3 linked regions of the Ovis aries genome follow. The protein of the gene in region 3 binds, or shares a complex with, the protein of the main gene of each other region. Links are inferred from orthologs where the notes say so. Each region holds a gene or a part of one and is shown on either strand. Other genes may lie near its edges.

The links. Proteins that work in one complex are often made in the same cells at the same time.
Region 1: mitochondrial import inner membrane translocase subunit Tim23 (region 3) and TIMM17A share a complex: the UniProt entries of both Homo sapiens proteins name them as parts of the TIM23 complex. The link is inferred for Ovis aries from reciprocal best matches to the Homo sapiens genes TIMM23 and TIMM17A.
Region 2: mitochondrial import inner membrane translocase subunit Tim23 (region 3) and TIMM17B share a complex: the UniProt entries of both Homo sapiens proteins name them as parts of the TIM23 complex. The link is inferred for Ovis aries from reciprocal best matches to the Homo sapiens genes TIMM23 and TIMM17B.

What each region holds. Positions count from the first base shown.
Region 1 is NC_056065.1:79,927,917-79,932,267, forward strand, and holds the start of TIMM17A (mitochondrial import inner membrane translocase subunit Tim17-A), read right to left. Parts: upstream 2,823-4,351; 5' UTR 2,790-2,822; coding exon 2,764-2,789; intron 1-2,763. UniProt on the Homo sapiens protein: Essential component of the TIM23 complex, a complex that mediates the translocation of transit peptide-containing proteins across the mitochondrial inner membrane.
Region 2 is NC_056080.1:56,177,411-56,181,515, reverse strand, and holds the start of TIMM17B (mitochondrial import inner membrane translocase subunit Tim17-B), read right to left. Parts: upstream 2,823-4,105; 5' UTR 2,786-2,822; coding exon 2,760-2,785; intron 1,887-2,759; coding exon 1,787-1,886; intron 775-1,786; coding exon 711-774; intron 1-710. Other genes in the region: PQBP1 (polyglutamine-binding protein 1), read left to right, coding at 3,539-3,605. UniProt on the Homo sapiens protein: Essential component of the TIM23 complex, a complex that mediates the translocation of transit peptide-containing proteins across the mitochondrial inner membrane.
Region 3 is NC_056078.1:42,999,217-43,002,776, forward strand, and holds part of mitochondrial import inner membrane translocase subunit Tim23, read left to right. Parts: intron 1-1,103; coding exon 1,104-1,214; intron 1,215-3,560. UniProt on the Homo sapiens protein: Essential component of the TIM23 complex, a complex that mediates the translocation of transit peptide-containing proteins across the mitochondrial inner membrane.

The sequences.
Region 1 (4,351 bases), on a different chromosome or scaffold from region 3:
TGGTCCAGGGGTTAAGACTTGGTGCTTTCACTGCTGAGGCCGAGTTTGATTCCTGGCTGGGGAAGTAAGATCCCATAAGCTACTTGGTGCAGCCAAGAAAAAAAGAAAAAAAAGACAAAGGAGAGTCACTAGCTGTAAAAGGTTAATGATCCTACGATCAGAACGGAAATGAGCATTTTAAAAATCAGTAAAAAACAGCAGGATTCAGATCAGAGAGCAGCCACAGTATTCCACAAGATGATGTCTAAAACAAATGAAAAAAAAAAAGATAATAATAAAAAAAATGCAAGACGGAAACAGCTTCCGAACCGCGTCTGCGGAAATCAGTGTCCCTCACAAAGCTAAGTTGAGCCCAGACTCTAAACATAAATGCCAGGCAAACACAGGGCAACAGGGAACCAATAATGAATCACATGATCAAAAGTTACCATTTTTAAATACCCAATACGGTGGGCTTCCCGGTGGCTCAGTGGTAAAGAATCCTCCTTCCAGTGCAGGAGACATAGGTTCAGTCTCCGAGTCGGGAAGATCCCCTGAAGATCTACTGGCAGCCCACTCCAGTGTTCTCACCTGGAGAGCTCCATGGACAGAGGAGCCTGGCGGCTACAGTCCAAGGGGATGGGGACGCAGAGAGTCAGCTAAGACTGAGCGGCTGCACAGTACACGGTTTAGGCGGTTTATGACGCAAACAGCCTTACCTTCTGGAAAGCCAGCCTATTTCCTTATGAAGTGAAGTGTTAGCTGCTCAGTCATGTCCGACTTCTTGCAATGCCATGGGCTGCAACCCACCAGGCTTCTCTGTCCATGGGATTTTCCAGGCAAGAATACTGGAGTGGGGTGCCATTTCTTACTCCAGGGGATCTTCCCGACCCAGGGATTGAACCCGGGTCTCCTGCATTGCAGGCAGACTCTTTACCATCTGAGTTACCAGGGAGGCCCTTATAGAGTGCCTAGTCTTTTAACTTTGCAAAAGAATATTCCTGTTTCCTCTCCATTTCACAGATGAACAGAGGCTAAGAGATGAAGCGCTTTGAGCAAGATCACACAGGTATTGATAGAACCAATTCAAATACAAACCCCCCAAGTTCTTTCTACCACAGACCAAGGGCTTCTGAGAACACGTGATCAAAGAGTGAGATGAAGATGAAGCTATGACATACTCAGGACGGAACTAAAGAGCCTCCTGATGAAGGTGAGAGAGTGAAAAGGCTGGCTTAAAACTCAACGTTCAAAAAACTAACAAGAGCATGGCGTCGGGTCCCATCAAACAGATGGAAAAGTGGAGACAGTAACAGGCTTTCTTCTCTTGGGCTCCAAAACCACTGCGAATGATGGCTGGAGCCATGAAATTAAAAGATACTTGCCCCCTTTCAGGAAAGCTGTGACAAACCTAGACAGTGTATTAAAAAGCAGAGACATCACTTTGCCAACAAAGGTTCGTATAGTCAAGGCAATGGTTTTTCCAGTATTCATGTACCGATGTGAGAGCTGAACCATAAAGAAGGCTGAGTGCCGAAGAATTGATGCTTCCAAATTGTGGTGCTGGGGAAGACTCTTGAGAGTCCCATGGACTGCAAGATCATCAAACCAATGGATCCTAAAAGAAATCAACCCTGAATATCCACTGGAAGGGCTGAAGCTGAAGCTCTGGCCACCTGGTGTGAAGAGCTGACTCACTGGAAAAGACCGTGACGCTGGAAGACTGAGGGCAAGAGGAGAAGGGGGCAAAAGAGGATGAGATGGTTGGGCAGCATCATCGACTCAATGGACATGAGTTTGAGCAAACTCCAGGAGCTAGTGAAGGTCAGGGAAGCCTGGTGTGCGGCCGTCCATGGGGTCGCAAAGAGTCAGACACAACCTAGAGACTGAACAAACTGAATAGAGAATGGAAATTTAATATTCTAAAATCTTTAACCCAACACAGTCACATATTTCCCCCTCCTACCGCCCCGTGTCACATACGGAGGAGCAAGTGACAACGGCGGCGCCGCGCTGAGCCCTGCACACCTGAGCACCACCCACGAAGGGGGGCCACTGTCTTTGGAGAAGATAAATTTAAAGAGCTGGGAGGCGCTGAAACACACGCTCTGTCTCATTTCAGAGAGGACAACAGCAGGAAGCAGCAGCCTGGCTAGCTCGGGCAGTGTCAAAGCCCTGGGCCCTTTCACACAGCTGGAGAACACCCTGGTTCCTGCCCCTGCACTCTTGCACAAGAACTCAAATAACAAGATCTGATTTGTCATTCTTGACCCCAGAAGGCTTGAACTCCTCCACGCTTTCACTCCTGGGACAGACGAACGAACGGACCGCTGTCGGCGCCTTGGCGAGCACACTCCACTCTCCCCGTTCTCCTGGGCGCGCCGTCCCGTCCCCACCACGCGGGGCCCCCTCCACCGCCCGCTCCCCACCGCCCGGACCGCAGCCGCCGCGCCACGCGGACCCTCCCAGGACACGGCCGCCTCCCCTCGCAGGGCGAGCCGCGCGGACGCAAGGACGAGCCCAGGATCGCCAGCGGGCAGCGGGGATGCTCCCCACACGCCGCCGGGCAGGGGTCGCGGCGACACAGACGAGCCGGGGCGCCCTCGAGCCGCCGCAAGGTCACCGGGAACAGCTCCGGCGGCCCCAGCCGGCCGCTCACGTCCGGGTGCCCCCGGCCCCTGGCGCCGCCCAGCCCGCAGCTGAGAGCGGCCTCGAACCGGGAGCGCGGGGGCCCGGGGATCCGGGGCCGAAGGCGGCAGCGGGGCAGGCGGCAGGCAGGCTCACCAGGGCTCGCGCGCGTACTCCTCCATCTTGCCTCCGCGGCTCCGCGATGCCGGGCGAACAGAGCGGGGCCGGCCCGGCGGCGGAAGTGATCCCAGGAGGAGAGCGTTAGACTCTGCGAGGATTGGCTGGCCGCCTCCCGCTGCAGCCAATCGGAGCCGGGGACTGAGCTGCGGGGCGAGGGCGGGACCCCGGCTCAGAGGGCGGGGCGGGGCTGGGGGCGGGGCTCCTGGCGGAAGGCAGGGCTCTGGGAGTGGGCGGGGCTCCGGCGCAGAGGGCGGGGCGGGGCGTAGGGTGCCGGGGGCGGGGCGTAGGGTGCCGGGGGCGGGGCGGGGCTCCAGGTGCGGAGAGGTACCCATCACTGAAGTCACCCGCCCGGGTTGCTCCGCTGGAGCTCCCCTAACTCCTGGACCCGTTTCTTTGTTCTAGCACCTGGCTGTCAAGTGTGCATGAATGCTACCTACTTCGTCTGGGTGGGTGAGGCCCCACCGACTTCCCGGAGCTCCTGAGGGCAGGCAGTGCCCAGGTCCTTTGACTCTCAGCGCTGGGAAGTAGTGGGTGTCCCTTAAATGTTTTTGATAATCTGGGACGCTGTGACCCGTGGGGGTTTCTACACACCGGAGCATGAGAAGGTCTCCCCTTGGAAACCGTTGCTATAAGCAGGTCTCCTGACAAGGCTGAGGCAGGACTGCCCCTGGAGCAGGGGTCTTCAAGCTCCAGGACACTAAAGGTACAGCTCTCTCTCCCCTCACTTGAGCAGACTGTCTGCCCTCCAGGGTAATAGCGATGTACAGTGAGCTCACAGACTGATGGCATCTTGTGTGGAGGATGCAAGGGAGAAGCCTTCTCCACACTCACACCTGCAGAGGGATGCACGTTTTCAGAACCGACATCCCCTTAGAGGGTCCTACTCCCCAGTGGGTTGAGCTCCAGTGAGCCAGAGGCTTGGGTGCCTCAACAGCTCCACCCAGCAGAAGGTCGCCGCCCCCAGCCCCACCTGGCCTGATGGATGAGTGAAGCTGGCACCACCTCCGGCTCTGGGTCTGGGGCTCTGGTCTATGACTGGGGCCTGATGGGGGTTTAGGCTGGGCAGGGGTGGGGGTGGGGAGGTGGGCTCTTTTCTGCCCTCTCCCCCCTCCCCCACCCTCTTTTCAGGAAGATGTGTGCCCTCTGCCCTCTCTCTTGGGGCTCTCCGCTCCTCCCAGGAGTGTGGGCCAGGCCAGGGGCTGGCTTCAGAGGCAGAGTCTGCTTCGCCAGAGGAACCTCCGGCCTCCCTGACGGGGAGGAAGCTGGGGAGGAAGCTGGGGAGGCCGTAAACGGCGCGGACAGGCCAAGTGCTCGCAGCGCCCCTTGCCTTGTGCGCGCCATCGTATTGGCGTCTTCAGTAACTCCATGGCGCTTGCAGTGAGCGTTCTTCTTTCTCCAGGTACTTCTAGGATTCTTGTCTTCCATTTCCTGCAGCTCAGAAAGGGTAAATAACTCACTCAAGGGCACACATTTCAGATTTGAGCCCATGTCATTCGACTCTGGAGACACGGCCTTATCTGCCACACTATACTACCACCCAATAGTCCTGAAAATGTGGCTTTCC
Region 2 (4,105 bases), on a different chromosome or scaffold from region 3:
GCGGATACGTGGTTACAAGCAGACTTGTCTGCTTCAATGTGGCTTTTTTTTTTTTTTGGCCCTGTCATTGGACTTTCAAGATCTCAGTTCCCCAACCTGGGACTGAACCCAGGTCACAGCAATGAAAGCTCAGAATCCTAACCACTAGGCCACCAGGGAACTTCTGTCTATACGGCTTTTAACAGAGCAACTCTGACCTTCGTAACTACCACATAGAATTGGAATCTGACCTGGGTTTAGGAGAGAAGGAAATGGGTGAGGAGAGCCAGTTAACAATGATAGTTATTTACAGAAGTCTTACCATGTGCCAAGACCTGATCTACACACTTCATGTTACTGACTTCTGAAAATTTTTATTAGTTAATATTATCAAAGTGCTTAGCAAGCAACCAGCACTTAGTAAGTACTATGTAAGTTACATAAACGACAAAACTGATTGAGGTGGTTACTGCTTTTATCATTCCCATGTTACAGGTGAGGTTCAGAGAGGTTCAGCCACTAGCCCAAGGTCACACAGACATCAGGGAAGAGCCAGGGCCTGGATTTAAACTCCACAACTCACCCGTATGAAACTGCCGAGAAATAACACTCCCCCCGGGAAGCCCCAGGCAGAGTTGGGGCTAGAATCTGGACCCTCAACTTGCAGTCTAGACTCCAAGGAGCAAGCATTCCCAACTCTGTTATCATACGTGTCTCCCCAAACCTCTCACCTCCAATCTGAGGGGCTCTGATCCTTACAGCATTGACACTGCCTCTCAATCGGTGCCGCATTCCCTGAGGGAAAGTGAGGAGGAAGGGAGTCAGAGCAGGGTTCAGGTCACTGGCAGATAAGGTTTCTAGTTTTTAAGAGAGGAATGGAGGGAGGAAACCTGTTAGGGGCCTCAAGGGTACAGATGTGGAGAAGTGGCCAAGAACTAGGGCCCACTACAAGTGCTCTCAAAGCTAGGATAGGAAGTTATTCATTCATTCAGTACTTAGCACTGATGTGCCAAGCACCATGGTATATGCAGGGATACAGCAGTGAACAAGGTAGACCTGGCCCCTACCCTCTCAGAGCTCACATTATAGTGGGAGAGACAGATCCTGAATAAGGATTCAGATAAACAAGATAGCTTCAGGCAGCAATCAGGACCCTAGAGGAAATGAGATAAAGAGCTATGACAGTGGCTGAGAGGTCAGGAAAGGCCTCTTAAAGGAAGGGGGCATTTGTTCTGAGACCTTGAGGATGAGAGGGAGAAACCTGGACAAAGATTCAGGAAAGAGAGTGCCAGGATTTGGGAGGAAGTACAGGGCTAGAGAAATTGCAGAGACCTTGGCAAGTGGATAGCATTTAAAGTCATGACATTCGATGAGATCTCCCAAGAAGGGAAAAGGGGAGTGTTGTCAGAGAGAGAGAATTGATTATGTTACATTAAAAGCATGTGCTCAACTTTAAGGCTGTCCTCCTCCTGCCAGTTAAACTCCTGTCACTTCCCTTTTCCCAGGCTTCCCACCCAGAATCTGACTCTAGGTAAAATCTGACTGACTTTGCACACAATTAGGTTTTGGTTTTATGACCCTTTTGACAGCACAGCATTTCTGAGGAGCTCCAGCAGGGTGAGGGTCAGAGGTCATGTTTGCAGTTCCCCCAAACTCCCAGATCCTGGAGCTAGGCCTGCCACACAGTAGGTAAGCAGACACCAGAATGAATAAGTGCACGTGACTGGCAGTTCCAAGCAGTTTCAGAACAGTATCCCATGTGGTCAGGGCAGGACCTCAGCAGCACCCAGGGAAGGCTAGGACTCACGACAGGGGCATTACGGAAGCCCTTAATGGCCTGGAAGACTCCACCGCCGATAACACCCATAGTGAAGGCTCCACCGCAATCATCCACAATTCGCCATGGGCTGCAAGCGGGAAGGGGAGGATGAGGTTAATGTGAGCGCTCCCTCATGCCAAGTCACAAGATCTCTTTCCAACTGGGAGCAATACGTCACCCAAATGAGAACTAGCACTTCAGATAATACTGGGATTATTTCTCCCCTCATTTAAGCAAAAAATAATGTGAAGAGGGGAAAACATCAGTCTTGGCCCTGTCCGCCCCTCCCCTTCACAGCCAACCAGGGAATCAACCAACTGGTTGACTACTGTCAAAGATTAAATGAATTAATGAGAGGGCATTAATTAAAGAATTGGCACGTTTGAATTACGCTACAGGTGTTGCAGGCACTGTTCCTTAAGCAGAATGGGGTAGCACCCCTTTTTCCGATAATGAGCACGTCCAACAAAGCCACGTCCTCTTCCCTTTTCACCCTCGCACAACTGGGGAAAATCAAGCACATAGAGTGCGGAGGACCCATCACCCCTCCATGACCACAATCATGGTCAGGCTCATCCAGGCCCCGCCAGCATTAACCAAAGCGACCTGGGAAAAACCATGCGTTTTTCCAGGGGATACCCGCTCAACACCGCACCACCCCCTGGCTGGAATGGATTCGACCAGCGTGTCTTTAACAGAGGGGCTGGGAGGTACGGAATCAAGGAAAACGTGGAGTGGTCCGTCCTGCACCAAACCTTCTTCTGCAGGCACACAATTGTGGCCCCTTTTAACGGAGCCCGAGTAAGAGAAACCAAGTGGAGAGGAGCAGAAGACAACAAAAATCTAAATGTGTTCCGAGTCTGGGACGTGGCGCTGTGTGGCCCGTGCCTCCCCCACCCGCCTCCCACCGCTGGCCGTGGCGCCGCAGCAACAGTCCCGACACCTATGCCCCTCGCTGTACCAAGGTTCCCGAGCATACTCCTCCATGGCGCCGGCGTCCGGCCGCGCAGTATCGCTAAACCCTGGCCGGGCCACACCTCCACTGGAAACGTATACAAGCGCCCGAGCTTTCCACCTATCCCAGGGCAACGGTTCTGTTGTTTCGCCAGACTTCAGATCAAAGCGCATTCTCATTGGCTAGGTAGGTTTGCGTCATCTTTTCACTGCGTGAGCGTCGTGCAGTTACGTCTAAGCTCGGGGAGAGAGAAACTCATTCTGTGCTTTGGGAGAAGAGAGTCGTGTGGTCCTGGCGCTCATAGAGACGACGAGAGAGAGGTGGCCAGTTGGAAAGTCGTCCACTACTTGCGTGACTGTATTGGTAATTTGGGGTGGGTGCATTTTTTGGAGCTGGAGGAGGTGTTACACTGTGCTCCCCCATCCCAACGCTTTGGTTCCTCCCACCCAGCAGTCTTTGGGGGACGTTGGGTGAAACCATTTTGGGTAGTGGGGGAGCCGCGCATGGCCCCTTGGGCTGGGCGGAGCCTGGGCCTAGGACGGGAACCCGGTGCTGCAGCCACTGGCCTGGGAGAGCGGAGTTGGTGAGAGTGTTGGTGATATTGCTGTTTACAACCCCTTCCACCTTTCAGCGGGTAGGGTCTATTTCCCTCCTAGTGTAGATGGGGGTCCAGATTGAGTACATGCTGCGGGGAGGCCCTTGGTTACTCTTGTAACCAGATTCAGTCCTCATCTGAGCTGTTTTTCAGGCTGTCTGTCCTTCCGTAGGCCTGTCTGCCATCCGCTATGCCGCTGCCTGTTGCGTTGCAGACCCGCTTGGCCAAGAGAGGCATCCTCAAACATTTGGAGCCTGGTGAGAGAACTAAGAGAAGAGAGGCCTACCATGTGCCCGACTTGACAGGCACTTTGTTGCGGATACTGCCGCTTGATATCTAGCATGGGCCTATTGTGCACCAAGCAGTGGGGTGGCAGGCATTTCCTTGTTAACAATACGTGTTGAAAGTGAAAGAAAGTGAAAGTGAAGTCGCTCGGTCGTGTCCGACTCTTTGCGACCCCGTGGACTGTAGCCTACGAGGCTCCTCCGTCCATGGAATTCTCCAGGCAAGAATACTTGGACGGGAGTGGGTTGCCATTTCCTTCTCCAGGGGAATCTTCCCTACCCAGGGATCGAACCCGGGTCTCCCGCATTGCGGGCAGATGCTTTAACCTCTGAGCTACCAGGGATTCCCAACAATACGTGTTACTGACCCCTATTCCTGTCCTATGAGGAGGAGGGGAGGTGGGGTATGGAATAGACATTTCGTCCTTAACACTGACAGTTGATGTGTATTTTGGGGTCTTCTGTAGCCAAAG
Region 3 (3,560 bases):
GTTTTCTGTGTCTGAAAGTCTTTAACTGATGGCAGATTAAGTAAGAGAAAATGTAGGTAGCTTGTCAAAAGATAAGAGAGGCCTCTTGTGTGACAGAGATCCTGGCCTCGTCATAGGCTTTGGAAGCAGGACATGGTCACCCTTAGGCAGTCAGGTTTGCGTTTGGGATCCTGGTAAAGGGCTACTTCCCTGTGCTGCTTGTGCCCCCAAAACCCCTCCCCCTTGCAGCCACCCTCCTTTGTATCGATGCTTGTGAGATTGCTTGTACCTAGAGTGAGCCCCTGGACATTCTCAGTTCAGTTAATGTTCCAGAAATACCAATTCTGAGCAAGCTGGAATGGTCAGTTACCCTGTGTGTTTTCCTTATAATGTGATCAGTTACGATGTTTTGCTCAAGTTTAGTTCCAGTTAAATAAATTGAAACTGGAAGAAGAGCCTTTGTAGAAGTATGAAAACTTCACAGCAGAGGAGTTGTGAGGCCGAGTTTGCTGTAATTTTGAAAAAGGGCAGGAGAAGAGGTAATGCATTCATGCATTATGTCTCTTTAGAGCCGGAAGAGAATGGCGATTTAGGGGAAACGCTTGATAAACTCAATAGTGCTATTGTTAGAGTTTTCACATGCGCAGAAACTAAAGCTCATTGTCTTGAAGTTGTATTTTTCTTAAAATAGAAATGCATGTGTTTTGCTTTTGTTTCTAAATTCTAAGTACAGCTGTTAACAAATAAATGGAAGTGAAAAAGATACTCTTCCTGGGTCTCTGCAGTGTTACTTTCCATAAATAGCTAATAAATTTCTTTGCTTTCCAAACATTTTCTTTGCCCATCCAGAGTCACACACACATGTGCCTGCTTTACAAGTTAGTGAGCAGAGCTCTTCCTGCATTTTGAGTGCATAGTATTCCATTGTGTGAAAAGTCTCTCTGGATCAGTCCCTTCTTGAAAGTCACTTGATTTGTTGCTAAGATTTTGTTACTACAAACAGTGTTCCAGTGATCATTGCTTGTATGTCTCATGATGTCTGTAGAAGGCGTTTATCTAAATATCATTGCCACGCTGACTTTCAGTTCACTTTTTTATTGTGACCCGTTCCATTGCCCTTGTAGCTTTGCTTTATAGTGCATTTGGTGTCATCATTGAGAAGACAAGAGGTGCAGAAGATGACCTTAACACAGTAGCAGCTGGAACTATGACAGGCATGTTGTATAAATGTACAGGTAGGTACCATTAAACGGTGGAACTGTCTCTTAATACAGTTGAAGTATGCTTTTTTGGCCATACTGTAGTTTTTAAAAGAATTTTTTTTTTTTGGTAGTGGTAGTATAGTGTTCTTTGATACCTCACGGTTTTCGATTTTATTTTTTAATTTTCATAAAATACACAAAAAATTGACCATCCAAACTGTTTAAATGTACAGTTCAATTATGTTAAGTATATTAACATTGTTATGCAACTCCAGAACTTTTCTTCATCGTATAAAACTGAAACTCTGCCCACTAAACAACAACTCTGTCCTCCCCCTTCTGCAGCCCCTGGCAACCACCATTCTACTTTCTATGAATCTGATTCCTTAAGGGACCTCATGGAAGTGGAGTCTTGTAGTGTTTTTCTTTTAGTGACTGGCTTATTTCATTCAGTATAACCTCACGGTGCAGCATGCATCAGAATTTCCTTCCTTTTTAAGGCTGAATAGTGCGCCATCGTCCGTGCACACACATACACCACATTCCATTCACTCATCTGTCGGTGGGCTCTCGGGTTGCTTCTGCCGTTGGCTGCCGTGCATGATGTTGTTATGAACATGGTGGAGTAAATCCTAAGAGTTGAATCAAAATTACCTGGATGAAGATCAAATATCAAATTGTCCTCTAAGATGGAAAAGAAATGAACATTTGCTGAGTTATGGTTATATTCTCAGTAGTAACCACTTAATGTATAACTTGTTAAACTCTGTGAAGTGATCATCACAATACCCCAGTTTTATAGATGAGCACATTAAAGACGTTCTTTTTCAAAAGATCATAAAACTAGTGACAGCCCCAGATTTTTCTCACATTTGTTTTAAATTGCCTAAATTTATGCCATAATTGCCTGTTTATGTTTTGTACTCAGGCCTCTGAACAGTACTTCTGATTGTTTTATTATGCTTCAGACACTTCAGTAATTTTTGTTCTTAGGTAATTCCTCCATCACAAACATCAAGTAGCATTTTTTGCCTCACTTTTACTAGAAATGAGAGTGAAGTCTCTCTTACAGGATTATAAAATCTAAAATTTCATGGTATGTCTGAGAGCGAGAGGCTTTTTTAATACTGAAAATGGTAACATTTGGAATTGTATCCCTAAGAGCTCACAAGACTTCTTGCAGCACGTGCCTGTTCTGATACACATCAGCAGAGCTCCTAGGCATAATAAGATAGGAAAGATCTCCTAGGCACAATAAGACAGGAAATATCTTTTGTATACACGAAAATGTTGGCATAGAAAAACCTTGTTAAAAACCTAAAAATACTTTCACACTGAAAATCTCTGGGGTCAGACAAAGGAGTTTAAAACCTTAATTGGCACCACAGGGGTGGCACTCAGCCAGCAAGTGTTTAATCGGCCCAAACTGTGTTTATGAAAGATCAAAGTAAAATTTAAGGAACAGGAGATTCCACACAAAAATCTGGAGATTTTAGCTTCTTTTGCAAAAATGGAAGACACACGGCTCACGTTGTGTACGGTAGCAGATGGCAGGAGCTGCTCTGGGGGAGCTGCTGCCCCAGGGGATGGACACGGGAGCTCCAGCTCAGTCCTCACCCGTCCCCGCTTTCTTACTCAGCGTCAGCCATTACAGCATTTCCTGTGTTGGGGGCAGCCTTAAGTATAAGAATGGACTGAATTACCACCTCGTTTAAGACACATTACACATATTTTAAAGACACAAAGGGGAAGGCTGAATACTTGGGATTATCACAGGAGAAAAATGAGAACCTAGTTTTCTGTGTCCAGGACTTCTTGCAGGAATAGCATCTTCCCAGCCTGGGACATCTCCAGCATAAATTATGGAAAAGAATGCTCATGGCTCAGAAGAGAAAAAGCAAAAAAGAATATTCATTAGTGCTTTGTCAGGTGACAAGTGGGTTTCCGTTTTTCAGATTTCAGTTTCCACCACAATTGTGGAACACAGAAGAGGTGAATGACCTGCTGACCCAGAATTCCAACACTGGTTCCTAGTTCCCAGCTGATTAGTTTAATTCAGCACATCAAAATTTCGGACGGAGGCAAAGCAGTGTCTTTTACTGATTTCTGGTTTAGACGCCACTTAAAGCACAGAATTTCATGTGGCAGGAATTTATTAAAAAACTCCCATATTCAAGGATTTGGAAAACAGTTTGGGTGCTCCTTCAGTCTAGAGTCAGCCTAAACCACGAAGGAAAGGAGACGGATGCTGGTAGCCCAGTGTCAGTGTACGTGACGCCACTGACGTGTACACTCACCAGTGGCAAATATTTTGTTATGTGTATTTTATCACAATTTTAAAAAGAATTTTTTAAAACCAATTTAAGTTAAATAGTGCAG